2 linked regions of the Drosophila melanogaster genome follow. The protein of the gene in region 2 purifies or fractionates together with the protein of the main gene of each other region. This does not show direct contact. Each region holds a gene or a part of one and is shown on either strand. Other genes may lie near its edges. The genes, in order: snama and hrg.

The links.
Region 1: the proteins of hrg (region 2) and snama purify together in Drosophila melanogaster (affinity purification with mass spectrometry, with the first as the bait; one large-scale study listed by BioGRID). This does not show direct contact.

The regions. Positions count from the first base shown.
Region 1 is NT_033778.4:24,084,995-24,096,335, reverse strand, and holds snama (something that sticks like glue), read right to left. Parts: upstream 9,733-11,341; 5' UTR 9,634-9,732; exon of another isoform or gene 9,506-9,633; intron 8,805-9,505; 5' UTR 8,786-8,804; coding exon 8,620-8,785; intron 8,561-8,619; coding exon 8,326-8,560; intron 8,272-8,325; coding exon 7,793-8,271; intron 7,733-7,792; coding exon 7,458-7,732; intron 7,395-7,457; coding exon 7,069-7,394; coding exon of another isoform or gene 7,065-7,068; exon of another isoform or gene 6,824-7,064; intron 6,781-6,823; coding exon 6,631-6,780; intron 6,571-6,630; coding exon 6,277-6,570; intron 6,215-6,276; coding exon 4,444-6,214; 3' UTR 4,322-4,443; downstream 1-4,321. Other genes in the region: gek (genghis khan), read left to right, coding at 1-2,221, 2,283-2,559, 2,631-3,059, 3,121-3,327, 3,392-3,577, 3,638-3,731, 3,798-3,994, 4,074-4,174; CG16786 (uncharacterized protein), read right to left, coding at 10,334-11,341.
Region 2 is NT_033778.4:19,658,568-19,675,744, forward strand, and holds hrg (hiiragi), read right to left. Parts: upstream 11,266-17,177; 5' UTR 10,680-11,265; exon of another isoform or gene 10,551-10,679; intron 10,502-10,550; exon of another isoform or gene 10,223-10,501; intron 9,912-10,222; 5' UTR 9,787-9,911; intron 9,720-9,786; 5' UTR 9,682-9,719; coding exon 8,961-9,681; intron 8,898-8,960; coding exon 8,701-8,897; intron 8,643-8,700; coding exon 8,061-8,642; intron 8,001-8,060; coding exon 7,728-8,000; intron 7,664-7,727; coding exon 7,457-7,663; coding exon of another isoform or gene 6,958-7,456; exon of another isoform or gene 6,693-6,957; intron 6,100-6,692; coding exon of another isoform or gene 6,095-6,099; 3' UTR 5,980-6,094; intron 5,918-5,979; 3' UTR 5,352-5,917; downstream 1-5,351. Other genes in the region: CG15125 (uncharacterized protein), read left to right, coding at 1-32, 94-254, 344-516, 600-1,020; CG11018 (uncharacterized protein), read left to right, coding at 3,976-4,029, 4,083-4,982; Kpc2 (Kip1 ubiquitination-promoting complex subunit 2), read left to right, coding at 12,188-12,582, 12,717-12,728, 12,794-13,283, 13,339-13,674, 13,727-14,030, 14,094-14,242.

The sequences.
Region 1 (11,341 bases), 4.4 Mb from region 2:
CAATGACGTCCGGTTAACGGACTCCATTCCGCCGTCAGCCAATCCTGCCTTCTCTGGATTTCACTTGCCCTTCATCGGGTTTACCTTCTCGCTGACCAGCAGCTCCACCTTGGACTCGAAGAAGAACCAGAGCTCGGGCTTCGGAGATGATACCTTGGACACCATAAGCAGTCCCCAGTTGGCCATTCTGCCGAGCAACAACTCGGAGACACCGGTGGACTCCGTTCAGCTGAAGGCACTAAACGATCAGCTTGCGGCTTTGAAGCAGGAAAAGGCAGAGTTGTCAAAGCAACACAACGAGGTTTTCGAACGGCTCAAAACTCAAGACTCTGAACTTCAGGACGCCATCTCTCAACGAAACATCGCCATGATGGAGTACTCGGAGGTCACTGAGAAACTCTCGGAGCTGCGAAATCAGAAGCAGAAGCTCTCCCGCCAAGTCAGGGACAAGGAGGAGGAGCTTGATGGTGCCATGCAGAAGAACGACAGCCTGCGGAACGAACTGAGAAAGTCGGACAAAACGCGAAGGGAATTGGAGCTTCACATTGAGGATGCTGTCATCGAGGCTGCCAAAGAAAAGAAGCTGCGGGAGCATGCGGAGGACTGCTGCAGGCAGCTGCAGATGGAGCTGCGGAAGGGCTCCTCGAGTGTGGAGACAACTATGCCACTCAGCATTTCCTCCGAGATGTCGTCATACGAGATCGAACGCCTTGAACTCCAGTTCTCGGAAAAGCTAAGTCATCAGCAGACGCGCCACAATATGGAGTTGGAAGCACTGCGCGAGCAGTTCAGCGAGCTAGAGAACGCGAATTTGGCACTCACCAAGGAGTTGCAACAAACACAGGAAAGGCTGAAGTACACTCAAATGGAGTCGATTACCGATTCCGCCGAAACGCTTTTGGAATTGAAGAAGCAGCATGATTTGGAGAAAAGCTCATGGTTCGAGGAAAAGCAGAGATTAAGCTCCGAGGTGAATCTCAAGTCAAAGAGTCTTAAAGAACTTCAAGCGGAGGACGACGAGATCTTCAAGGAGTTGCGAATGAAACGGGAGGCCATCACCTTGTGGGAGCGGCAAATGGCGGAGATTATTCAATGGGTGTCCGATGAGAAAGACGCGCGAGGCTACTTGCAGGCCTTGGCCACCAAAATGACGGAGGAGTTGGAGTATCTGAAGCATGTGGGTACCTTCAACAACAACGGTGTGGACAATAAGAACTGGAGGAACCGGCGCTCTCAGAAGCTGGACAAGATGGAGCTGCTCAACCTGCAGAGCGCGCTGCAAAGGGAGATTCAGGCCAAGAACATGATATCGGATGAGCTGAGTCAAACCAGATCGGACCTCATATCCACACAGAAAGAGGTTCGAGACTACAAAAAGCGGTACGACTCCATACTGCACGATTTCCAGAAGAAGGAAACCGAACTGCGGGACTTGCAGAAGGGAGGCTTGGAATACTCCGAGTCGTTCCTCAACAAATCAACGCATCATGGGCTAAGCAGCGCCTTCTTCCGCGACATGTCAAAGAACTCCGAGATTATAGATTCTGCCGAGAGCTTTGGCAACGAATCCGGCGACAATTTCACTCCCAACTTCTTCCAGTCCGGCAATTCGGGCATGCTCTTCAACTACGAGCCAAAGTATGCGGGTAAGAACAACAAGGATCATTCGTCCATGAAAGAAGCCTCGGTCAGCGATTTGTCCCGCGAGGAGAGTGACCAGCTGGTCAAGGAATCTCAGAAGAAAGTGCCCGGCAACACGGCGATCCATCAGTTCCTGGTGCGCACATTCAGTAGTCCCACAAAATGCAATCACTGCACATCGCTGATGGTGGGGCTCACACGACAAGGCGTTGTGTGCGAGATCTGCGGATTCGCCTGTCACACGATCTGCTGCCAAAAGGTGCCCACCACGTGCCCCGTGCCCATGGATCAGACGAAACGGCCGCTGGGAATCGATCCCACCAGGGGAATCGGCACGGCATACGAGGGCTACGTAAAGGTCCCCAAGTCGGGGGTGATTAAGCGAGGATGGATTCGGCAGTTCGTAGTTGTTTGCGACTTTAAGTTGTTCCTCTATGACATTTCGCCGGATCGGTGTGCATTGCCCAGCGTGAGCGTGTCCCAAGTGCTGGATATGAGGGATCCCGAGTTCTCGGTGGGTAGTGTGCGCGAAAGCGATGTCATCCATGCCGCCAAGAAAGATGTGCCATGTATTTTCAAGGTAAACAGACTGCCATCGCAGCATCTCCTGAGACTAAATGTGTGCATCTTCCTCATTCCAGATAAAAACCGCCCTTATCGATGGCGGTCTTTCGCTGAACACCCTTATGCTCGCCGACAACGAGTCGGAGAAGTCCAAGTGGGTCATTGCCCTGGGAGAACTACATCGAATATTGAAACGAAACAGCTTACCAAATACTGCTATATTTAAAGTTAACGAGATTCTGGACAATACCCTGTCTTTAATAAGAAACGCATTGTGTTCTGTCATCATATATCCAAATCAAATACTCTTGGGCACCGAAGACGGCCTGTTCTACATTAATCTGGACCAGTACGGTAAGCAATCACATTTTATGAAAACTTGCAAGTAGAAGAGGGCACAACTAAATGCTAACAAACATTTCCAGAGATCGCTCGTATTGGCGAAAGCAAGAAGATTCTTCAGCTATGGTACATTGAAGAGGAGCAGATCCTCGTCATTCTCTGCGGAAAGCAGCGCAACTTGCGTTTATTACCTATAAGGGCATTAGAGGCTAGTGATGTCGAGTGGATCAAGGTGGTCGAATCGAAGAACTGCATATCTGCTTGCACTGGAATAATCCGCCGCTTCCCCAATATCGTTTACTCATTTATCATCGCTCTAAAGCGGCCGAATAACCACACACAAATCGTAGTTTACGAAATCAATAGAACGCGCACAAGACACCAGAAGACTTGCGAATTCACAATTGGCTACATGGCGCAGCACCTGCAGATTCTGTCCGACATGCGATTGGTTGTGGCTCACCAAAGCGGATTTACCGCATACTTTCTGCGCGGAGAAGCAACTGCAATGTGTGAGTAGTAATAGATGACGTTTTCTGAGAGTCTTTATAACGTCTTCGTATCTTTCATTAGCTTTGGTTCATCCGGAGAACCAGTTATGTGCATTTTTGAACTACTCCGGAGTGGATGCGGTCAGGGTCATTGAAATTCTGTGCCCCAGCGGCGGCAATTTCGGGGAGTACTTACTGGTGTTCCAGACTCTGGCCATATACGTAGACCTGCAAGGGCGAAAGTCTCGGGATAGGGAAATTATGTATCCAGCCTTCCCTACGTATATAAGTGAGTAAAAAACGAGATGCGGTTATGACTCATGATGTATAACTCTTTTGTGGACTCATTCCAGCCTTTTGTGATGGTCACTTGCTGGTGTTTTCGGATACACATTTGGATATATTCAATACGCAGACTGCCGAATGGGTGCAGTCGATTGGATTGAAGCAATCACTTCCCTTAAACAATTTGGGAAACGTGGTGCTGTCCTCAGTCAATGACACTCCGCTGATTGTTTACCTATCCAATATTCACACAAGTAAGCTAAATCATTCACGTCTGTTTATCAGGGCCATTAAACCACATGCTTTATTTGCAGAGGGCCTTTTGCAATACCGTGACGGAAATCGAAAGGGACTTCCGAGCATAAAGCGGAGATTCTCTATCAGGGAGATAAACAAGACCATCAAAAGGTTGGGCTTCAGTTAACCTATTGGCGCAATCGATTCGAGTCCTCATTATTCGCTTTTTATTTGTAGTGATCGTAGATCAAAGATGATATCAGCACCGACTAATTTCAACCACATTTCTCACATGGGGCCAGGGGATGGCATTCAAAATCAACGACTCCTAGACTTACCAACCACGCTCGAAACAGCCGATCAAGCCTGCAGTCCAATAATACATTCGCTGAGTTGCATACCCCAGAGTAGAAAATCCAATTTTCTAGAACAAGGCAAGCAGCATTTAATGCACAGCACAGACTAGTCGGAGTTTTCCTAATGCATATATATATTATTATTCTGTGCTTTTAGTGGATGCAAACTCCGATGACTATGGCAATGACAACATTATCTCCAGAACGCCCAGTCCAATGGCATCGTCCTTCATGGACGGCTTAAGCAATAATGATTAACTTCAGTCAATCTCTACACGTGTAATTTAATCGATTTTTTAAGATAACTGTTTGTAATAAACATATTTAATTTCTCGAATATCAATCCACCGTCTTCTAACTCGGCGGGCAATCGAAAGTTAGATCGATCACAAGCAAGCAATCCTTGAGTAGTTCTGTTTTATTTGTATACTTATAGTTGCATGATAAATACATACATTAAAAATCTTTGATTTGTACACATTAATCTTCAATATTTATATCATTCTTATCTCGTAGCCTACCGTAACCTACTTCTTTGATTTTTTCTTCTTCTTCAAAATCTTGCTCTTCTTTTTGCTCTTCGGATCCTTGCGCTTCTCGCTCTTCAACGAATCGGTTGACGAATATTTTGAATGTTTCTTCAGCTTCTTATCCCTCTGCTTCCTGTGCTCCATGCCGTTGTCCGAGGACGCGCCCTCCTTCTGTATCGTGTTATCATATTTTACAACTAAGCTGCTCGACGAACTGGTGTCGACGAACTTGCGGAACGGGTTGTCTGGACGACAGGGTTTGGGAGGAGCAACCACGGCTGTTACAGAGGAGACCACTCGGCTGTCGCTGGACTTGGTGTTTTTGGCCGCCCTCCGATCCGAGTCGTCGCTATTGTTTTGATCATGCTTTCCGTGCTTGGATTCGGACTGTTCCTTGTTCTGGCGCCTCAGCTTGTCGTCCTCCGGCGAGCTTCGCTTGTACGAACGCTCCTGCCTCTTCTCTGAAGGCGCCGCCCTGTCGCGGGATCTGTTGTCCCTCTTCCGGCTGCCATGACGATCCGACCTGCCGCGGTTCGCATCGTCGTCGGAGCTCCTTGCGGCCCGGCGCCTGCCCTTCGACTTGTCTCGCGAACGGCTTCTATCATTGGAAATCTTGGTGCCCAGCCTATCCTTTACCGACCTGCTGCTGTTGTTACGCCTGGGTGAGGAGGAGCGATCCTTGTCACTTCGAACTACGGAGCGGTCCTTGCTGTTGTCCTTGGAATTGATAATAACTTGAAACTCCATAGGCCTGATGGCATTAATAGCCTTTGCAAATATTGCGTTCTCAGCCTTTCGCAGGACGTCTGAAGTTATTTCCGACGGATCGTCGGAGGCCCCGGCAGCTTTTTTGGAGGAATCCTCCAAACCTAAGATATTCTCGTCGATTTCCCATTTGGATAGATTGACAGAATTAGCCTCGCTGAGTTTGCTTCTTGGGCCAAGATTATCGTCGCTAGCAGCACCCACAGTAAGGATGGAATGACTCTTCGGATTAACGTTTTCAGTAGCGTTGTGAGTAGGGGAAAGTTGAGCCGCATTGATCTCAATGCTGGGACTTTGAGCCCTGGGAGACAATACTTTATAATTTGACTCGTTCATTAGTGAGCTGTTGTTAATATCCGAGTCAGATCGATTAACTGAGGAGCTCTTCTTCTGGCGATCCCCTTTCTCCTTCTTAGCGCGCTTGTCCTTCTTGTTTTTCTTGCGCTCAGCCTTGTCCTTGTCCTTCTTCTTCTTCTTGCGATCTTTTGACAACGGACTCTTGGCCTTGTTCTCCTTGCCCACATTGGTCTCCATTTCCGTGTCGTTGATGACGGGCTGGGAGGCCATAATTCTGGCCTTCGCGGTCAGATAATCGTCGTGACTCTTTTCCGGCGTCTTCGGTGAACTTTCGCGTTGCCTCAACTGGGCAGCAGTCATTTTCGGTGTGGTGATCTTTGCTGGTGGAGTCAGGCTCCTGTAGTTGCTGTCATTCGGCTTCGGTTCCTTGCTAATGCTGCGAGACCTGTGCCTCTTTCGTGGCGCCTCTTCGTGCCTGTTTTCCCCTCTCTTCTTGCTGCTATCACCCTTGCTGCTTTGTGATGCTTCCGAACTGGTCGGGTGCTTGTTCCTGTAGCCGTCTTCATCCGTCAGCTGCAACGGCTCGAATCCGGGGGGAGGAGGCTCAACTGCCTCCGTTTTGGGAGCACTAGGCTTGTTGTACGGCTTGTCTCTGTAATCACTCTTGTAGCCCGGCTTTGGAGATGCAGAGCGACGATGTCCAGATCTAAAAAGCAGAGAGTAGACCATGAATGTAAGCACATGGAAAAGGGCTGGTGGTAAAACTACCTTTTGATTCTGCCACCTGGGGACTTAGAGCCATCATTCGGCTGGCGACTAGAACGAGGGTGGCGTATATGCCGTTCGTAGCTATGTTCTCGCTTCCTTTCCCGGGATCGCGGTCTTTTGTCCTTGAGATTATCCCTGGAGTTGTCCTTTTCGTACATGGGAGACTTAAAGCGGTGCCTTTGTCTATCCGGGGACCTTGACCTGTGGCGGTCAGAGCTTCGAAAGCGGTCCACCTTCTTCCGCTCCTTCTCCTTCATGATGCGATTGAAGGCCTCCAACGGATCGTCAATGGGACTGCAAAACATTGGGATTACTTGTCATCCCACGCTTCTACAACGCCCTAAAGATACTCACCCGGAACCGACCTTCGCTGCCACCCCTTGGTATATCGAGGCTAAATTTGGGGACTGAAATGGTTGTGACATATTCATATTCATACCTCCGCCTGCAGATCCGTACGGCGCACGCATTGGGTGTACGGATTGGTTTTGATACGGCACATAGCTGAAATTTTAGAAGTTAATTACAATTCAAAAAGCTTAACGTTGATTGTAAGCAATACTGTTTTAATTAGGAATAACCAATATTCAACAAAGCATAAAGGCGCAGAGCCCAGAGCTTAAATTACTCTTAACTAGTGTGTGTGTATAGTCTCTGTTGGAACTTAAAAATATTGAGATCAGGCAGGACCGGCTGCGTATGGACTCGTCAACACCTCGGAGTTCCAGTGGCCTCGACACTTGACTCGATCCACATGGTAGCGGGATCCGGACGGGTGGAAAAGAAACCTACCTGAGGGGAGGCCTCTGTCCCATGTTGTTAAACCCGTTGTTGTAGGCTGGCATGTGGTGACTCATCATGTGCATAGGAGGTGGGCCCCGCTGCATTTGCATATAAGGGGGCTTATAGGCACTCGATCGACGAGCTTCTTCTGATTCGGCCATCATGTGGCCCTGGTAGCTAGGCAGGGTGCCAATGGGCAAGGGCAGGAGACTGCGATCCTTGTTAACAGACTCCGATTTTGATGGACGTTGGTGCTTGTGATCGTGATCGGAAACATAATCCGACCTGTCCCGTCGATGAGAGGATTCACTTCTGTGGGAATAACTGGGGGATCTCTGAAACATTAAGGCAATAATTATGTATCTATGTTGCAGATGTGTCAAATATGTATGTCTCACTTTGCTGGGCACTGTTGTAGAATCAGCTGCAGGCTGGGGCATTTTTATGGTAATGTTATCCTCGTAGTCTGAATCATATTTATCTTTCTCCTTCTGTGATGGTTCTGTGGTTGCGGGAGGCTCTGGAGATTCCGATTTTGGCGGATTACTGCCATTGGTTTCGGATTCTTTTTGCTTTTCAGGTTTCACCTCAGTCTCTTCGGGTTCCACCTCCGCGACTGGCTTTTTCTCCACTTCTTTTTCAACAGGAGGTTTTTCCTCATTTTTTACTGCAGCTAAAAAGAGAAATTCGATTCATTTGCATTAAGCGATGCAAACGAGTATAATGAACTTACCTGGCTTAGCCGCGCTTTTGTTATACCCAGTCTCATTTTTAAAGGCGTTCACCGAATTCCTCAAGAACCGATTAGGTATCAGGGAGCCAGGCGAACAGTTCTTCTCCTTGCAATCGGGGCACTCACTATCCTCTGACTCCAATAAGGAGGTTCGCACACAGTCGTCACAAAAGGAACTTCCGCAGCAGGGTATCATGACAGCATCGACGAATATATCTCGGCATATGCCGCATATCAGATCCTCCGGTATCTCTTGGTTTTGTACAGCAGGCAGCACAAAATCGGCTGATTCGTTCTCAGCCGCATCTGGCTTGTCGCGGAAAGACCGCGGAATACCAGTATTCCGTTTGACCTCTTGCTGGTCCTTTCCCCCCACAAAGGGACAGTTTTTGATCCAGTGTCCGCTTTTCTTGCATTTGTTGCATCGGTAGGATGCGGGAACTTCTCCCACTTGCGATTGTCCTTTAATACGATGGTACCTAAACAGAAAATACATTAGATAGGTGGTTTTGTAACAATTTAAAACCACATACGTCTTAGGATCATAGTCGACTGTGCTCTGCATCATCATGGCCTGGATTTTGTCCTCCTCCGTGCCTTGCATTTTGGACAGGTCCATGTTGAAGTTGTCCTGCTTGGCAGGCGCCGCCGAAAAGGCATTTTCTGCTGCTGGTGGCTCCCAGCCCTTTTTTGTGGGATGGGCGATGGGGATGCGCGATATGATCAGCGTTGTGTTTTTGGGAATAAGGAACCCATCGTCCTTGTATTCTGGAAAAGGGAAGGAAGCCATGTAGCAGGGGAAAAATTCTAAATTGCGGTGGACATACCTTCTTTACTCTGCGCATTTGTTATTTGGAGATCAAAGTCGATGATTTTGCCCAGTCGCTTCTGCTGCACAATCTCCCTTTTTAAGTCCCCGACAGAAATGTGAAGTCCATCAAAAGTAATTGTATCAAAGTTGAGTGTACTCTTAAATTTATAGTGTACCGACATAGTTGCATATGAAAGAAATCTGCGAAGAAGAGATTAAATACGATTATCTTATAGTGTCCACGGCACTTGCGTTATCAGAGTCAAAGCAGGGGGAATACATAATATGCTTCATAAATATCTTAATAAACAAACAGATAAAGCTGTTTAGATAATGTGTGTGACAATGCGCTGCAATCCTAAAAACATGATTAACACGTTTAAGTGGACAGTCTAAAACTGAAACTATGCATATAGTCGATTAGTGGGAAACATGATATTGCATCAAATCTTAAGAGATCACTAAAATAAGCTACTAAGCAGTAGCAAGCCATGCAGGTTCAGAAATCATTCTTGATTGCTTCGGGATAAGATGGAAGTGCGAACTTAATCATTGGTGCTGTGCTATATATTACGGCGGATGGGCAATTTTCTAATAAATACGATCTCATTGGCCCTTTACCAAAGTATGCCGAATATAGATTCCCGATTTGCACCATGCACTTCCCTTGAACAGCGGATAATTATGCCAACATAAGACATTACATATGTATGTATGCGAAGTTGCACAATTCCGGGAACATGCTATATGCATATGCGTATGTGCCACCTAAAATCCGGTCAGATCAATGGGCATTCTGTGAACGATATTTGCATTTCGCATTTTTTGCACCTTTGCATGGCAGCAGCATAGAATTGCATGTGCATAAAAATACACACGCGAAAACATACATATGTACGTACACTTCGGGTTTCTTGGGTCGTTCGGACTTAAACCGCACTTGAATTGCGCTGAGGATTGCAAGGCATCACAGTTCACGCGCGTTGTTTACTACCGGCAAGCAGCTGGCACAAAAATAGCAATTACTTACACTACTCTGCAAGCACATAAAAACTCCGACGATTTTATTTTTTTCCAATTTACTAGAGATGCGAACGTGACGCCAAAGCCCCAGAGATGTGAAATGCGAACGCACACGCGGGTATCGATAGAGACACAGATATCGATATCGATGTTGGAGTGTAATTTATATTACAAAGTGAAAGTATTGAACTTTATTAGATAATGTTGATAAGTGTTGTAACGGAAAGCATTTGGTAAATGTGCATAGCTGGGAATCGATTTCTATATATTGTTTGCAAAGGCAGCAATTCTGCATTTCTGTCGGTTCTCTTCCGCGTGAAACGGTGGAATGGAACACAGTGTATAACTATTAGTATCGATCATTTGAAGAATCAAATAACTCTTAAGCTGCAGTAAATACGGAATGAAAAACTAATTTAGGGAATAAAAGGGTTCAAAAATTTATTAACATCAGTTAAACCGAACTACAACCATATTTTGCTTATCTTAGATCCAAAAAATTCGATGCAATCCTAATTTAGTCTTAACTCGAGTATTTACATTAACAACTTTTGCGACAAAGTGCACATACAATATAATAAAATCTACTGCTTTTTGTATCACCGCCTTTTCGATATTTGCACGTGTTCTTAAATATAATACAGGATTCCTAATTACAAAGAAGTAATGGGGTTAGACACTCTCGCTTGCGTAGATGCTCCTAAAAACTAGCCAACATAGGCGAATGGATTGTAAGGAGGCGGAAAGTAGTTGGGGAAGGATTGGCCTGGCTGGCCGGGAATGGTGGCGGTTATTAATCTAGTGACAGCTGTGGGAACGACAGAGGTTGAGAAGATGGTGGTGTAGGCGGTCCTCGCGCCAAAGGTCAGCTTTAGAACCTTGGAGCTCGTTTCCGTTACCATGGACTGCTGGACCTCGGTGGATGTGATGAACTGTTGCGGGGCAATGGGCAAGAGTGGGTTGAAGGGATTGAATGGGTTGATCGAGAAGGGATACTGCGAGGATGGCGTTGGCATGGAAATCGTGGCGACATCAGTGACGTATTCCGTCTTCTCCACCACACCCACGGACTTGGAGAGGGTTCTCATGATGGTCTCGGTGCCTCTGACAAGCGGCACCACATGGGACTCCCAGATGGTCTCGAGCTTGATCACGGGTCGCGTGGAAGTTATCAAGCTGTTTTGCAGCGTTTCCGGGAAGCTAATCGATTCCGGGAGCAGAGGGTTTATCGGGCTAGTTACATTACTCTTGGCCTCAACTTTGAGTTTTGGTTTAATCTTTGCGTCGAATTTGCCCGTATTATCTTCATCTCCGAACTCGAGGTCCAGGTTGATTTCCGACCCAGCCTCGTCCAAACTTCCTTCGAAGTCCTTGAAGTTCTTTGAGGGATTGAAGTCGTCGCTCAAGGGGGAAATGGTCTGTGTTACAGTGATGAGACTGGTGTAATCGTACGTCTGAACTAGGGTAACTTGGATGGTCTCGTTCCTTTTTGCGTACACAACTGGGAGGATCTGGGTCTTCAGCTTGGTGTGCGTTATGGAAAAGGACTCCGTTATGGTCTCCAGGCTGGGGGTCTCGGTCTCCTCGCCCAGATAGATGGGCTTCAAGGTCGTAACGCTGCCTGTTAAGGTCTTATCATCGGTGCTGGCGGTGGCCTCCAAAATGTTCTCCGTCAGCGGGCCATCGTCTTCGGAGTACTCCTTGGTGTGCTCCTC
Region 2 (17,177 bases):
TAGGCTCGTTGTCGCCGGTTGCAATGATCTAGGTTCTAGATTTTTCGATTTCAAAATTCAAGTCACTAATATCGCAATATGTCCCTTTTGCAGGTTTCGAGTATGTGGTCAATCCTCCAGTATGGCCGAAAGTCGGATTTCTCAGGAAAATCCATCGGGACTCGAGCGGAGACTTCTGTAGGGACAGCTACACCAAAAATATTCCGTCGGTCGCTCCTAATACGTATGATGTTCCCAGACCAATGGGATTTAAGGTAGGACTGTTTTAAAAATAAACTTATTTCAAATATAATTCATTAGAAATAAGTGTAAGCACAGTAGATAAAATAATGTATTATTACAGTACCCGTCAAAGGCAGGATTTTCTGCCTTGGCCAACAAGATGCCACGATTACCAATCTTTCGAGAACTGGGATATCCCCCTATTGGATCCTACGCTACCGATTTTCCAGGAACTCAATACTACTTCACTTTCAACAAGCAAACTGTGCGTGAACAAAAATGGTTGACACCCGGGTAAGAATCCTGCTGCGGTTTTAAAGAATGAACGCAATCGAATGCTTTTTCATTTGGGGGCGTTTTTCAATTTTATTTTCCAGGCCGTCAACCTATACGCACCACCTCAAATATCCGGACTGGGACGTGGAGACAGCTTTCGGATCCAAGCGCATCATCTGGCCAGCAGTGGCCGTATTTTGCAGTCCCCAAAACATTGTCAAATGCTCGACATGTGGCGAAAAGCCAGTGGGTGACTATTTTCACAACTTTAGCAATGACGCGGACATGTGCCGACAATGCATGCATGTCGAGATGGCGGCGATCAAGAAGTGCAATCTTCAGGTGACGGAGCGGTATAGTCGGCAGCAGAAAATCAAGCAATTCGTACCGGCCAGATACTGCGGATTCTTCCACGATCACAACCAAACTACGGCCACAATTGAACGGGATTCGCGAAAAGTGCTGCGCCAAAAGATACGCGTGGAAAATTACTTGTATCGGCTGAATGCAAAGATAGAATAGAGCTAAATACCCATATTTATTGTTTTAATATATATTATTTTAACTAATAAAAAGCGTATATATTACAATTGAAATGAACGCGTTTTTATTGGGGTTTTATTTTGAATTCAATTGGGGCAATACATTTACAATAACACTGTAGGAAACTATAGACAAGTTTAATCTTTGTTTAGCGCACTAATTCTACGAACATTATTCTTTGTTTTTCTCACAGCGGATGCCTGCAGTGACTATACGGACCATTTTAATCGCATTTCCGCCACTCGGTTTCCTCTATCCTCCTCCGTGTATTCCCACTTCCGGTCGAGCTGGAGGATTTAGCAACCCACATAAGTCGAAACAGGAACGGTGGCACAGACAGCAACGTCCTTGGCCACAATGCAACAATGGCTGCTGGCCATTTGCAGCCATAACGAACATTATGGCATGGCGGCCATGTCAATGCAGAATGGGATTGCGCCGTTTGCTTGTTTTGCATTTGGCCAGCAGCAAACTGGCCACGCCTCGGGCCAAGAGTTGGTTTTGGCCAACTTTTGGCCATTCCGCACACGCGTTAAATTCCAAATGCGAGTCAGGTGCTCTTTCACCTGGAAAGGGTTGAGCAGCAGGCTGTTACCGGATAGAAAGTTTTGCACGTGGTACTCCCACATTACCATGACACATCTCAGCATCTATTGAAAATGCATGTGCAAACTTAAGACGGTTCTTTAAATTGAAGTTTATACTGACAAATACGCACTTGGCTTAGAGTAGAGTGAAGAAAATAGATGTAGAAATCAACTCCACTAGAATTTGACTTTGCAAATGAAGATAAAATCAAATCTTAGAATTAAACTTATAAATTCAACACACCTAGATACAGTTTTTATTTATTCACTAGAAATAAAATATCTTCTAGTTGCACCACCACCCAAAAATGATTGAACAAAAAGCAATGAATTGTAAAGTGCAATTAAAGATTGACAAAACTGCAGACAAATGACGAATTGATGCACAAGCTAGAAAACCAACGTCTCATCAGTTTTTCCCAAATGTTCAAAGCTTGAGGAATTTGTGCAATCAGAAGTCTGTTGACGGAAAATATTTCTGTTTCATGTCCTGGCAAACCACTGAACGTAGATCGATTGCCAAACAAAAAAGAACAGCCACTGTGATATAAATTGTGAGAGTTTCAAACTACATCATCAGCAACCGTTCCCTTCTTTTTGTACAATTTTCAATTTTCGCACTGAGGTGACACAAATGCGTGCCACAAATGACAAATCGTTGGAATTGGCCGTGCAACCAAAAAGAACAGCCACTGTGATATAGTAGTTTTTCAATAATATATCAGCAGCAGAAGTTCCCTTGGGTTAAAAACGGCATGGTTATTCGTGTGCCAAAAAAAAAAAAAATTAAATAATGATGTTAGGCACTTTAGGTACAAAAAGAACAGCCACTGTGATATAGATATGGTATATTAACTTACAGCACAGCAACTATTCCCTCTACATTAAAGGCTGTGATTAAGTTTAAGTAAGCTGCCAACTTTGACTTTCATTTTCCTTGATGAGTTGTGGACTTTAAACATGCGTTATAAAGGAAAATCACTGTGATATGTTAGGAAACAACTCATATCACAACGATCGTTCCTTTTAGCGAATGGCCCGATGAATTTGGGGATCACTTAACATAATTTCTTGACTCGTGGTGCTGCTAATGCCACAACGAACTTCAATGGTTGTCTAGCTTTATGACCGGAAAAATCACCTAAGGCTGGACGACCAAAGAAACTAATTGCAACCGCTCCATAATATTTTAATTTTCACTCGCAACTTTACTGAGCATGTTGAATATTTTAAAATTATAGCACGAGTGTTCGGTCTAGTCACTTCGCTTAATCGAAACCTTTCTTTGAAAAAGAGACCATACCGACATTCGCCATTCAATTTTAAAACTGGAGTGCCCAATATCACTTACTCTTGATTTTTTGATTTAATTGATTTGAAGTTGCGACGATGTGGCCAGGATCTTGAGACACACTTTGCCCAGTGATGTGAGATTGAAACATAACTGCACAAGATGCATCCCAGGATCGGGACCTTAGGTGGCTCACAATTAGCTGGTCGTCGTTTCGGGATTATAGGACAAACTTTACCCAGTGCTGGCTTGGAAATTGGCAAAACCGAACAAGGTTTGTCGTATAATTGCTATTCCAAACTTTAAGACTTCGCTTCTCACTGCGGGATCCTTACACTTTGAAGATGCGTTGGTAACTGATGACTTCCTTGCCAGCGGCTAGATCTTTTATACCCACTTTCTTGTCCTATAAACACCTACCTGTGGGTGGCGGGCGTTGTTACCTGAAAGGGTCGGGGCTGTTCCGCGAATTCGCGTCCCGGATCGCGACGACCTTAGTGAAAATTTTGCAACTTAATCCGTGGCCATAAACGGATTAATGCTACTCGGTTTCGGGGAAAAACGCGCAGCTGTGTCGCGTATAATTTTCGCAGAACTGCAATTAGGTTAGGACCAGAAAGGACACGGGATCGCAGATCACCGTCGGGTTCCCCGTGTCGTCCCACGAAATCCTAGGTATCACGCAGGATTAGTCAAGAAAATTTCACTACCTTAAACTGTATAGGTGGCGACTGTACACGATGTATTTAAAATCCTTGAGATATTAATGGCTCTTGAACAAACCACCTGTTTAAATTGTAGTTAACTCCTTTACTGTATACAGTAACATAACGAACCTCCATGATACAATATATATTTTCAATATTGACTGTAAATTTTTTACCATTACCAACTATTATTTGTATAGATCTTTCCCGGCCTAGTTAGCAATCGAAGTTTCTTTGTAATTGAAGTCACTATGGGCTCCTTGTTGAAAACGCTTATTTCTTACATTCGTATTGTTGAATCACACTTTAAAGACAAGGGATATACCCCTAAAATATCACATAGAACACTATGCATTGGTATGCAATCCTCCAAGGATTCCTCCTGGGAATATCATCGATAATCGTGAGTGCGTCGAGCCACCAACTGCAGCACCTATGTATATTATAATCCATTAGATTTTATGGGTACAAGGAGTCGTTGGCTTGCCATTGGCTACAACCGATCTGGAGTCACTTCCAATCGTCTTGGCAGAGGATGTTCCGGTGGAGAGAGCTCCAAGGCAAGTAAAACCAGATCCGTCGACGTTCGATATTTTCAAGGTGGATCAAAGCTCCAATAACCAAATGCAGCAGAAATCCGACGGCTTCAGAGTGTTCGCAAAGAAACTACAGGATGATTATCACCGTAGAGCTGGCTACAATGAAACTAATCCGCCACCAATTACTGTGACCCGAGGAAGCACTACTGCTCCTAAGAAAATCCATAAAAGTGGCATTCGACTATTTGCTTCTCCACAAGATCCACCTCCGCCTGAAGCTGCGGCGCCAGCTGATGGAGCTCCAGCGGCGGCAGGAGCGGCTGAAGGAGGTGCCGCCGGAGGAAAAGGAACTGAACCACCCAAAGAGCTGACCGTCAGTATTCAACAATTCGTTACAAACCAATATGGGGAGAAGGAATACAATGCTTGGGGCGTCACTTTTGGTAGACATTTCTTCGACACCCGTTTCGCCGTAGCTAGGCATGAAATACCTCGAATAACTGTGGATCCGAAACCGGTCCGTAATTACTATCCAAAAATGGACAATCTGACCACCGTCTGCTTGAACAGATCGACCATCTACAATGAGATTAAAGTCGAAAAGTGGCTGATGCGCCACGTCTACAGCATAAAGAAGAAAGTGCGCCCCTTCTTTTTCTCCCTTCGCCAGCAGCTCTACGAGAAAGGGGATTCGGAGCAGTGCCACAATGAGTCCTACACTGACTGGTTGGAGTACCAGGAGTGCGCCATTAGACGCAACCAGCGCATGGAGTACTTTATCCCCAAGTATCCGCTACACCAACTTGCCATTAACTAAAGGCAACCACATCTTGGACTCACTCAACCTGTTTAAATTTCAGTTAGACATTGATCATGATCAGTCTTCGTACGAGAAAATTGATGGGACAAGGAATGATTATCATATTTGTGATTCCTCTTCATTTAAATGTAAATTCAAAAATTTTCTTGATTTATGCTTGCAGAAATAAATATATTTTATTTTCTTAATTTAAGCTTCTTCGGAACAAACTACTCATCCTTTATTCGTCATTAGCAAAATAGTACATTTTTCTATAGCAATTTAATTATATCCAATAGTTCCCAACATTTTCAGTGCAAATATTTTGTATTCCAAATATATTATCCATCACACATCTCCAATAAATAATTAAAACATTGATACATTGGTGTTTTAGCTTGCGCTTTCATTTTTCTGGTTTATTTGGTAAAATTAAATCAATATCTTCATTTCATTTATATGTTTTTGTTATTACCTTTTTTCAGATATCATTTCTTAGAAAAACGAACATAATTGTTTCAAATTTTCAGCGTTGTACAACTAGAAGAAGAAGAAAACAAATATTGAAAACAAGATGAAAAATTAAAAAGAATCTTCTTAGTTTGTAAATAGTTTTCAAAGCGAATCTTCTCCAGGATCTTGTCAGTCCGCTGCTGTCAATCATCCATTCATCCATCCATCTTTATCCACATCCTCCTCTCCACACTTCTCTCTTCTACGCACTCCTCAAACCAGCTGTGGGGAAGTAAAAAAGATGTACAACAATATTATTAAGACAAATGTTAGAGAAATGCTTTCTCTGCCGCTAAAAATCGCCTCAAGTCATGATGTTTTCTTGTCTTAACGGCGATTGTTGATCTCCGAATGCCAATTTCGATTTGACGATAGGGCGATGTTAATTGGTTGAACGAATAATGTTTAACACATGTTTGTAGAAGGTGTATGATAGAAACCTGAAATGAATGGAAAACCGAATTATAAACTTCAGTGGCCATTAATTCAAAATTAGTCTCACCGTTTTGTATAAAATATTGTGGGCTTCATGTATGTTCAGGCATCAATGCCGAGGAAATCAATAGGGAGATAATAACTATGATAACTAATCCTTAAATGGTATGTTTAATAACTTTTTACACTGCAAAGACAATAAAAAGGATAAAAACGGTTATTGGAATATATGTATGTTTTATATATATGTTTTAATTACAATACTTCAACAAGAATATGCAAACAAAACATTCGTAATTTTCGGTGTGGTAAAAAGTTTGAGTTTATTGTACAACCAAAGTGGAAACAATTAAAATCAAATTAACAGCAAAAAATCTTTTTAACAATACCTTCATCTTTTACTTAATTTCCAGATGAGACGTGTGTTATTATCGTAGTAAAATCCCACAGAACCGAAATATCTGTGCTACTATATAAAACAGTTTCCTTAGCTTGTCCCTTATAAAACCCAATACAAACATTAACAAATGCTTTTTAAGGGCCATGAATTCATTAAAACTGACGAAAGCTAGACAGCCAAACAAAAAATAAAACCCGAAATATAAACAAAATAAAATGTAAATGTTTTACACTTATTTCTTTTTAGAAATTGTTTCTTGAATATTGAACAAAGCAAGGTTTGTTTCTCGCATTTTGTTTTGCAGATTCCTATAGCCTAAAATGTTTGACCAAACGAATTTCACTGTAAACAATTTGGAAAATAAAAATACGAAAAATGTTCAGTGTTTTTTCTTTTTTAAAAAGTTTATTTTCATCATCGTTTATTGAGCTTAGTCTCGGGCTAGGTAAATTGAATTTTTAAAACTTAAAAAATTAGAGGTATGTTTTTGTTAGATTGTTTCCACATTGGCGGAATACTGGTTATAGAATACGTAAAAGTAAGTAGATAGGCAACTTAAGAGTACAGAAACAGTCTCGTGTCAAAGGAAGTTGGGGAAAATGAAAAGAGAGTACGATAACGAGGAAAAACATTTAGGCAACTTACAAGAAATTGTCGGTGCCGGTGGTGCGGCACTCGCAGCTACCGGAACCGATGTTGCTGGTGACGCCGATGTAGCTGTTATTCTGACCGCTTTTTGTTGCTGTTGTGTTTGGTTGTTAGGTGTCAAAAGTGGTTGATTGTTGTCCTCGTCATCATCATCAATGTAGTACGTTTTGTTGTAGTGGCTGCCGCCGCCACCGCCGTTGTTGTTGTGAGTGCTATGCTGGGTGTAGTTGCTGTGAGCAATGTTGCTGCTGCTGATCATGGTTGTTGATGTTGCCGTTTGCTGCTTGCGCTTATGTCCGGTAATGCTTAGAGCAGCCGATAGACTGGAAGCGGCATGCAGAATCGAGCGTTGGTTGAAAATGCTGTTGGAGGCGGCTGCCGCAGCCGCGTTGTTGTTCTTTCGGAACTTCTGATGATGATGATGGTGAGCTGGTGGCTGTGGCGGCGCTGGCGGTGGCTGCTGATGTGGCGGATGCGGATGTAGCGTTGGCGGTTGTCACGAACATGCCACCTCCGTTGTGGTTGTGTTGCTGCTGGCATTGCCATTGTTGTGAGGCTGTGTCGGTTCCTGCTCTACAACGTCTATCTCGGAGCCGTTCTTGCCAGAGCTCTTAAAGCTTGGCGCACTTAATTGCGCCGTTGTGGGCGTGGTGGGCGTCCCTGCCCCCATATCGCTGGAGGCATTCGAGTTCTCCTCTGTCAGCTAGACATACAAAGTTTCGACTAATTAATACGTTCTAAATTGATATCTTTTTTATACCACTAACCGAATCGCTGAGTCTTTGTATCTTGGCTCCGCTATCCCGACCGCGATTTCCACTTGATGGCTGCTGGCCTGGGGGCAGTGGATCCTGCGATTGGGCCAGTTCCGTAGAAAGTCGTTTGCGGTTAGCCAATAGCGTGTTATTAAAATTATTGTGACTTTCCATTGACTTGCGCTCACGTTTTAGGAAGTCAGAGTCTAAATAAAGCGACAGCTGCTTGCGCTTTACATGGCGGGCATCAATGGTCATGCCTTCCTTAAGCATTTTGATGTTAACCTGCAAGATTAAAAAAGTAATAAGCAACTGAATAAACATTATTTTCGATTTTTTACTTACGCCGTGCATCATCACATGCTCTGTAAAGTTTTGTATGCTCTCGGTGAGGTCCACGTTAAGGTTCTCCGATCGCTCGAATTCCAAGCCTATAAACCACATGGAGCAGAAGGGTGCCGATGTCACAGCAGACTGGTTTCCCTGCGACTGCTTCAGATCGTCTTCATTTCCACTGTTGTTTTGTGAGTTGTTGGCACTTTGGCCCTTCTTAAACTCAAAACACTTGGGATTGACATGGGCCAGTGCAATATGGGGATTTCGCTCCAAGTTGCCAATTAGCAGACGCACCTTTGACTCAACAAGGCCGCACCACTCTAAATGATCGTCAGCCGTCTGCGAGTTGACTAACAACACGATAAAGTGGCGGTATCTGTAAAAAAAGCTAGGTGCCTCAAACAAACGCTCCCACGGAATGCGACCGAGCATGATTTCATCCGTGATGTTCATGCCGCGATTGAACTCGGTCAATATGACCTTCTTGGTGGATTCGGACACATTAAATGTGGAATTCTGTTGTGGGTATGCGGGCGTAATAATGGGCATCAGATGATACCGATCCGAGGCATTGACACGCGGATCCCAGACCTAGAATAGGAAAATCTATTAGAGAACCGGACTATTTGGATAAGTTTTTATGACTTACTTGAAATCTTAGATTAACGTTGTCCGGGTGCTTGAGTAGCACTGGGTTAGGCCACTTCCAGCGCGAAAAGACCAAGAAAAACTTGTGCACCAGTGTGGCAGCCGCAGCGTTGGGATACAGCTGACAGGTTCTGGCCACTAACATGGCCCAGGTCACACCACCGAAATAACCCAATGAATTTGAGTAGATTCCGTGCTCTAAGAGAGAAAATGAGAACAATTAGAATTTAATTTATAAGAATTTTATATAATAACACGTACTCTTTGCCCACAATTTGATAGTGCGCAGTGCCAGGCGGAAATTTTCAATATTGGGCACCAGGGCCAGGATCTCGTCCGTCACACGACAGCCGTTGAGGCTGCGCACCGAACGGTGATCCAGATTCCGCAGTAAGTTATCATCCCGTAGATCAAAGTCATCAGGAATTTCTTTTAGGGACAGACGGGCAAACAGCAAATCAATTTCGATGCCATCAAAGTTCATTTTGATGACGGGCACAAAGGCCTCTTCCACCGAGCGGCACTCGGTTACCTCTGGCTGCTTCTTGAGCACCTCAAAGAAGCTCTGAAAGTAGTCGGTGCGCTCAATATTTCGCGGAGCAACACATAAGGCATCTATATCGGCACCCTTGTGATGGACACCCAATCGATACGAGCCGAATGTGTAGATCTTGCCGCCAAGCTTCTCGGCGGCTGACTCTGGCATGTTCTTGCTGACAGAGATTTCCTTGACCCACTGCTTGACCAGTGTGTTGAGCTTGGCCAGGATCTCCATACGGTGATTTAGCTCGTCCTGGCTCTCAAAGACGTTGTACGGCTCCAGTGAGCCGCGGAGCTCATCAGTGCGCTGGAGATCCTCAGGCCGTGGCTCGGCCAGACTGATAGCCGAGGTCATGCCCAATTGCTTGGCGGGCGGTCCGCCCGAGGTAGAATTTCCATTGTGCTGATGGTGCTGGCGATGTGTTGGTTCGGAATTCCACATGTTGTCTGTCTGCCTTCGTTTCAGCTTAAAGTTATGTCCTGAAAATTGAAATTTTAAACGGTTATTATCTGATCCTTTCGGAATCGCTATATTCGATTTACTCACCTATCTAGGCTTAAAATGTATGTGGTATTATATTTAAGTTTGCTCTCCAAGAAGACAAAATGGAATCATATATATGCGACACCTCCTCTTGTGGCTCTGTTTAAGAAACTGCGCTTAATAAAATGCTGGAAAAGAAAATAATACATTTAGTATGACATCTAAAGCATTACTCTAAGGTTTGGTTTTAAAATTCTTAAGGAAGAGCGGATCGTATTGAAATTGAATAGGTTTGTTCGGACTATGATAATCTCATAAGGATTGCGAAATATTAGGGTTTCTTAAAGTGAGAATTATTGTACGGCGTTTCCAAACTGATGACGACGCGGTTTTTTAAAAAGTGAATCACCTAATATTTGAACTAAATATTTGTGGGATACACATTCATCACGTGATAAGGGCTACATATATACAACAGTTACTACTAAATTGAAATTACCCTTTTCTTCCTGTGTAGCAAAACAGTTAATTGACAATTACAATTTACTTTCGCGCTGAGTAAATGCAAATTGTAATGTGCGATAAGATATTTCTGATAGCGCCGTTATATACAAAAAACATAACAATGAATTTCGCAAAGCAGCTGGGCACACTGGTTCACTGGATAGCCTTTCGGGCATATAAACAAATGCGTAAAAGAAATTGGCAAATAAATTAGCGGTTGGAGTGGGTTGCCGTAGCTGTTGCTTGTAGCAGAATAATTGTGACAATGACAAACATAAACAAAGAAAGCGAATATTTATGCGCCTGCACCACCCCCCTCTCACCAACGACAATCCTCCCACACAGGTAAACGGTGCTCTCACGCACGCACTCACGCACACCCACACAAACAGGCACGCGCCGTATACATACACACACGAGGGGAAAAGTTTTCTCTGCTTGTTTTTGCTTACCTGCGCTTATTCTTCAGATTCTTGGCCTGTTTTTGTTGTTCCCGTGCCGCCGCTTCAAACAATATCTGAAGGTGTGTGTGTGTGTGGCGTGTCGTGCTGTTTGTCCGCTGCATTCGTGAGTGGTGCATATGTATGTATGTATGTTTGTTTGTTAGAACTTTTGGCAGGAGAGTGTATCCCATTCATGTGCTGTTGTCGCTCCGGCTTTTACTCTTTTCGCACGTTCGTCTTCCTCGCTTTTTTGCCGCACTCTTCACATTTCTTTTTTCGTTTCTTTTTCCGTTCCCGTTCCACCACCTTCCACTGCTGCTTAACGGACAGAAACTCTCGCGTTTTATGCTACGTGACGCACACGCACACACCGATATACAAATGCCAGTAGTCGACTTGCCAAAACGCAAACACAAACGCTTTCCGCCCACTTTTGTTTCGTTTCGGAGGTGACGGGGGCACACTGATAACACGACGGGATCGACGCTGTGGCGTTTAGTGGGCGGCAAACATATTTTACTAACTTTTAAGCCCCTGCGCGTTCTAGCAATAATTAAAATGTGTGGCAATCGATTGGATGCTTGTGGCAATCGTTATCGTTTCTTGCGGCGCATAGAGATGAGCCAATGGGAGTAGCTAGGGATGGGAAGATTTCCATGCTCTCTGCTTACGTATGCCTATTGTGAATGGACATTTTTAGTGAGAATTTTTAAATGATTTTTAGCAAATTGGTTTTAAATATAATGTGTATGAGCACCATTTTATTTCATTATCAAGCAGATTCGTTTCGCAAGTAATAAAAGTGAGAGTCATCTGCAAGCGATACCGCCTTAAGTAAAATAAGCTGAGGGCATAGGATTTACTATTGGTTCTTTTACAGTTGGGACCTAATCTGGCCATCTGCTTATTTGAAATCTGCGACAGATGTCACTTTTTGCACCTTTGGTGTAGGTAAATTCAAAACCCAATTTTCTTACCTGAAATTTGAAAACCCATTTCAAACTGGGATTTCAAGTATGTTTGGGTTTTATATGACGGGTCTAACCAGGTACCAATTTACCATTAAGACACTTAGATTGTATTACTAATAGTTTTTGGAAAATGAATTCTTTAATTCTATTACTATATTCGGGTAACTACTATTTATTGCAGTAAAGTAACAAAAGTATTTAACCCCAATGTTTTCCTGTTATTGTTATTGGCTAACGATAAGGAATAACATAGTTTTCTTCATATATGTACATATCACGATATATTTATAAAGTTCAGCCACATAACATATTTTAAAATAGTTTTTCATGTCAAAATAGCCGTTATAAAGATTAGGGGTATTCCCCATGGATATGGCCTATCTGGCAGCACCATCAAACAGCTGCTTGCTATCGACTTTACAAAAATAAAAATCGTTTTTTTTTTTTTTGCAATAACGCATCGATTCTGTTTACTTGCGAGAAATATGCAAAATAGCCATCGAAAAGTGCCGCAAAATGTAACAAACACCTAGCTGCAGACCCAAGATGATACCCTGGATGCGGGAGAAGTTCAACGAGAAACGGGCCAAGTGGTTGGCGCGTAGCAAGCGCAGCGGTGGTTCTCCGGCTGACGAAAGCCCTCGGAGCAGCAGTCATAGCCACAGCCAGCGGACAGACGCCAGCGATGCGGAGAGCCTGAGCGGATCCTCGTTGAATGTCCACACGGCGGAATCTGAAACGCAGACGGATGGCGGGATATCCGCTTCCAATTCGCGGCCCCTTGTGGGCGGGGGCAGTTGCGTCCTAAGGACTCCATCGCCCGCTCGCCGACGTCGCATTCACCTTGAGCTACAGCTGCAGCGACGAGAGGAACGTGCTGAGCATCAGAAGGTGGTGCCACAGGACTCGCCCACGCCCACTCACCAACAGCAGGCTAATGCGTAAGTTATCAAACCGAACGAATATGCTTATGTTTTTCAAAGTGCTCACCCGAAACAAATATTTGTCTTTCGAAATTCTCCGTTGGTTTGTCACTACCCATCCAACTAAAACAAACTATGCAAAAACTGCGCAGTTTGTTTCTCAGGTTAGTAATGCTTAGGTATTATGCTAATCTTTTAATTAAGTCCATTCTTAACGGAATCCACTTAGGAAATCAGCCCATACAAATCGCCCAGGTAGCTCTACTTCTGGCGAGGCAGACGATGCCAGCAGGCCAGGTGAATCTATCCTGGTGCGGGTAATCTGCCCCAGCTCTCGGGTTCTTATCTTCAAAACGGACGTTAATAAGCGCCTAAACGAGCTGAAGAGTGAGGTGATTCTGGAACTGAGCGACGATCCCGACTCCATCCAGCTATTTGCCCCAGATGTGCGGCATCTTAATCCGCGATACCGTCTCTATCGGGCGGAATACTTCGGCGGCGAGCTTAACGAGGGCGACACGCTGGCCCAGCTAAAAGTTCGCAACAATGAGACTTTCATACTCTCCCCACGACGCAATACTCTGCCGCAGACTGTTTCACGGATACGTGAGGTTCCTGGCCCAAATGAGCAGCTGGTGGAGAGCGCCACCCGATACGTGCCCGTCAATTGCAACCAGCTGCCCACCATCGATATTAATGAAATCTTTCAGCAGTCGAATGTGAGTACAATTCTTGGCTACTCCTTTGATTATTCTAATCCTATTCCGTTTCCAGATCCAATACGATGTGCGAAAGGTGTTGATCTCTTTGGCTCAAGCTTCTGCGGCGGTTATAGGAGCTGGCCCTTATGCTCCACGCCTGATAGCTATGCTAAAGCAACGTTTGATCAATCGCCGAAATCAGCAAGCGGATACGCTGCAATGCCTCGTGGACATGGGCTTCAAGCGGGAGCTAGCCGCATTTGCCTTAAAAGCACACAATGGCATTTACTCGACCACGATGGAGTGGCTAATACAGAACCAAAACGAGGAAAATCCACAGGAACCGCCGGGCATGAATATGCAGCACAGTCTATCTTCCATCTCACCCTCCACGATTGTCACCAATAATGTAAGTAGGAATTAGATTATCGCTTTTTAATGACAACCGTTTTCTTTTAAAGGAAACCATTGAAAACACTGCTGCCTTGATTGAGATTGTACGAATCTACAGCCACCGGGATTCCCCTCCCAGCGATGAGATTGTGGAATCGCTTACAGAAATGGGCTTCGAGGAGACGGCAGTGCTCGCGGCACTGAAGAAAACTGGCAACAACAAGGCGTCCGCGTGCGAATGGTTGTGCGACAATCGATCGGGTAGCGTTATTGAACTGCGTGAAGGCTTGGCGCCCGATTCGCCCATCCTAAAGGTGATCCTGGAAATGCCACAAGTCCAGATGACCCTAAGCAATCCAAAGACTTTTTTGGGTATGTCCATCTAATTAAGATAGCAACAGTTGAAATCGAAACTAATTGCACATACGTTTACAGCATTTCTGGGCATCCTGGAAAACGAACATGCGATACGCGTGTGGCGTGGCGACAACGACACAACCTCGGTCATCACACATATCCTTCAAAAGTACCATGAGGAGAAGCATGTGCTTGGCATCAATCAGTTCTATACGAACCGCTGGTGAAAGATGCCGCTAAGTGGCTTTACTATGAGATTAACCAAATTATATTTATACATATACATACACAATCACACACCCGAAGTGCATGGCTGTAGCTTGGTCCATTTTGGGGCTCTAATTATACATTGTGTATGTGCCCGTATGTAAAGAGTATTTTTGTAGCCAAAAACCATGAAAGTAAACTGCACAAAGCCAAAAGATGCAATCGCTTCGCCAAGAGCACGCGGCTGCACTCTACAAACGCTTACCGATCAGTACGAATTGCATTTTATACATACATATACATATATATACATACATACACATATATATACATACATACATATATATATATATATATATATATATATAAATATAAAATGTATCTATATCTAGTCAGGCCTTCATCCTACAATTGTATTAGGTTAAACAATAATTACTCTATTCATCTAGTTTGCTAGCTCATCTTCAGCCGAATCTCGCACTACATTTAGAAAATGTCACATACTGCATCCCACAGAAACAACCCATCAGTTTATAAGCGCTCGTACGTGTGGTGATTTAAGTGCGTTGTAATCCCAGGTTGTTTAAACCATCAACTTGAACTCAAAGTATTATTTTGTAAACCAAATATTCAAATTTGCATAGTTTTAACAAAATGCAAATAAATCAATTAGTTTTTGATACAAAACAAAAGAATTAATGTTTCTTTTATATCCAGATTATGTCGGTACTAAGGTGTAAGATGTAACTTTTTATATAGTTTGTAAGATTGGATAAAGTTTTCAATGACGGTCGTCCTCGTGTAGCGAATAGTTATTTTGTGTTTATTGTCGGACTTCTTCTTAAGTCAACAGTAAACCAGTAGTTCCCAAAATTGGGGGATTCTTTGTGTTTATAGCAAATAGATAAGTTGACTACGCATGACTCAAGCTCCTTTGAGTTCACCACGGCGGATGAGTAACATTTACAGACACTTTTAAACAAAATGAATCATCAGTGATAAGTTGGTGTGTACTCATTCGTAATTTAGAGCATATGTAAAGCTAAACATTTTCCATTACTCTTTCTAGTAATTTGTACAAATGGAATTGCTTTGTTGGCAGAGCAATTTGGATCTTTGCTGAATTATTTTGCTATTGCTCTTTTAATGTACAATTACAATTAATTTTCCATGCGGCCGCACATTTTTCATTTCATTATTCCAGCTGCAAACATGAGAGTAAACAAAAACAGTGAACCAAAACTATTCTATTCAATTGTTGCATTCTTTTTTCCACATATAATTAATTGTATTCAGCCTGGACGGGGAAAATAGTTGGATACATTTTAATTTATGTTAAGCGCGTTTATTAAGTGGTTGTTGCAGTGGTTGTGTATCCATGAATAAACTTTTCCTATCTGGTGACTTTTAATTAATATTTGCGCGCAATATTTTTGGTTGTTTAGGATATAAATGTGGGCAAAGAGCAAATTATTTATGGTCAGCTCGTGTTTTTATTAAATGTTTGCGGTTGCATGTTGCATCTGCAACAAAAGCAAAACCCAGCGGATGCGTACAAAGTATCTGCAAGCTTCGCCTAATGGCCCTTGGCGATTGCCATGCAAATCTATCTCTAAAAATTGATGACGCATGCAGCGGGCAAGGATGGAAATAGACTATAATAAATCATCTGGACCCCTGCAAAGCGGTCTCTGTTAATGCACTGAGAAAAATACATTATACCGAAGAAAACATAGTACAGTTTCCTACAGGATTCAAAATTAAGCGAATAATAAAACTGGTACGTAATTATATTTATTTATTTATATGATAGCAATGTAGGCTTGGCAGAAGTTCTTAAAGTATTTGGCATGCAATACCCATGGGCTTAAAGTTATATTTTAAAACTTCGATCGAATATAGATGCTCCATTTTTTTCGGGTGCACGTTTGGTGATTGCTCCTAAAAGTGGCCAGGCCAAATGAGTTTTTGATATTATCTTTTATCAAAAGACGAAATGCATTGACAAGGACGACGAGCGATGAACATCGCCCAGCTAATCCTCCCCCGCAGCAAAATGCCCCTGCCCCGAGTTGCCTATAAAAAAAACATCCCAGCTCCATCTGGAGTTTTCCGAGGATAGAATGGGTGTGTGTTATTGAAGAGTCGTGTGGCTTTGGCAATTTCCGCTGCATATTTGCAGGCGCCGCAAATTTATGAACAGCTTTATATTGACGATATCACACCATCCACCCACCCAAATGCGAAACAATGCTGGAATCGGATTGGCGATGGGAATAGGAAAGACATCCTGCCAAATTCCGCAATTTGTATGAAAATGAAAATGTTTTGTCATTTCGCATTCAATGATTTAAAATTCCTGTCGCATGCGTTTTTCGCGAGCTTTCCATGTTTATATTTGCCATTAAAGGCAGCCAGCCGAATAACTTCATCGAATGGCCCTCTTAAAAAATTGCATTTAATATGCATTAATAGCAGCACGACCTCATCAGCATCCAAAATCGAATGTGTATAATGAAATATTGAAATTGGTACAAAACAAAAGACGTGACATTTTGTCAGAGCCGAAGGGCAAAATTATTTGTATTGTATACATAAATGCAGGAAATAAATGAGTAGATAATCTGCACAATATCCTATTTCAACAAGCATTAATACTACAACAAAATTTAATGAAATAAATAAAACCTTTAAATACATATATGAATTTAATGTATAATCAGAAGATAAACAATGTGCCTAAAAGTAGTAAACTTTATGAAGAATCTTTTTAATTACACAGTCCCATTTGCAACCAATCTGATAATGGAACGATTTAGTATTCAACATCGCATCTGTCCGTCCGACGAGGGAAAATCCCTCCTTCATCAAGAAAACCTCAGACCAATTAACCATTTAAAAGCAAATCGAACTCTCCTTCATTAGCAAACATTGCCCAATTTCGACCCTTGTCGC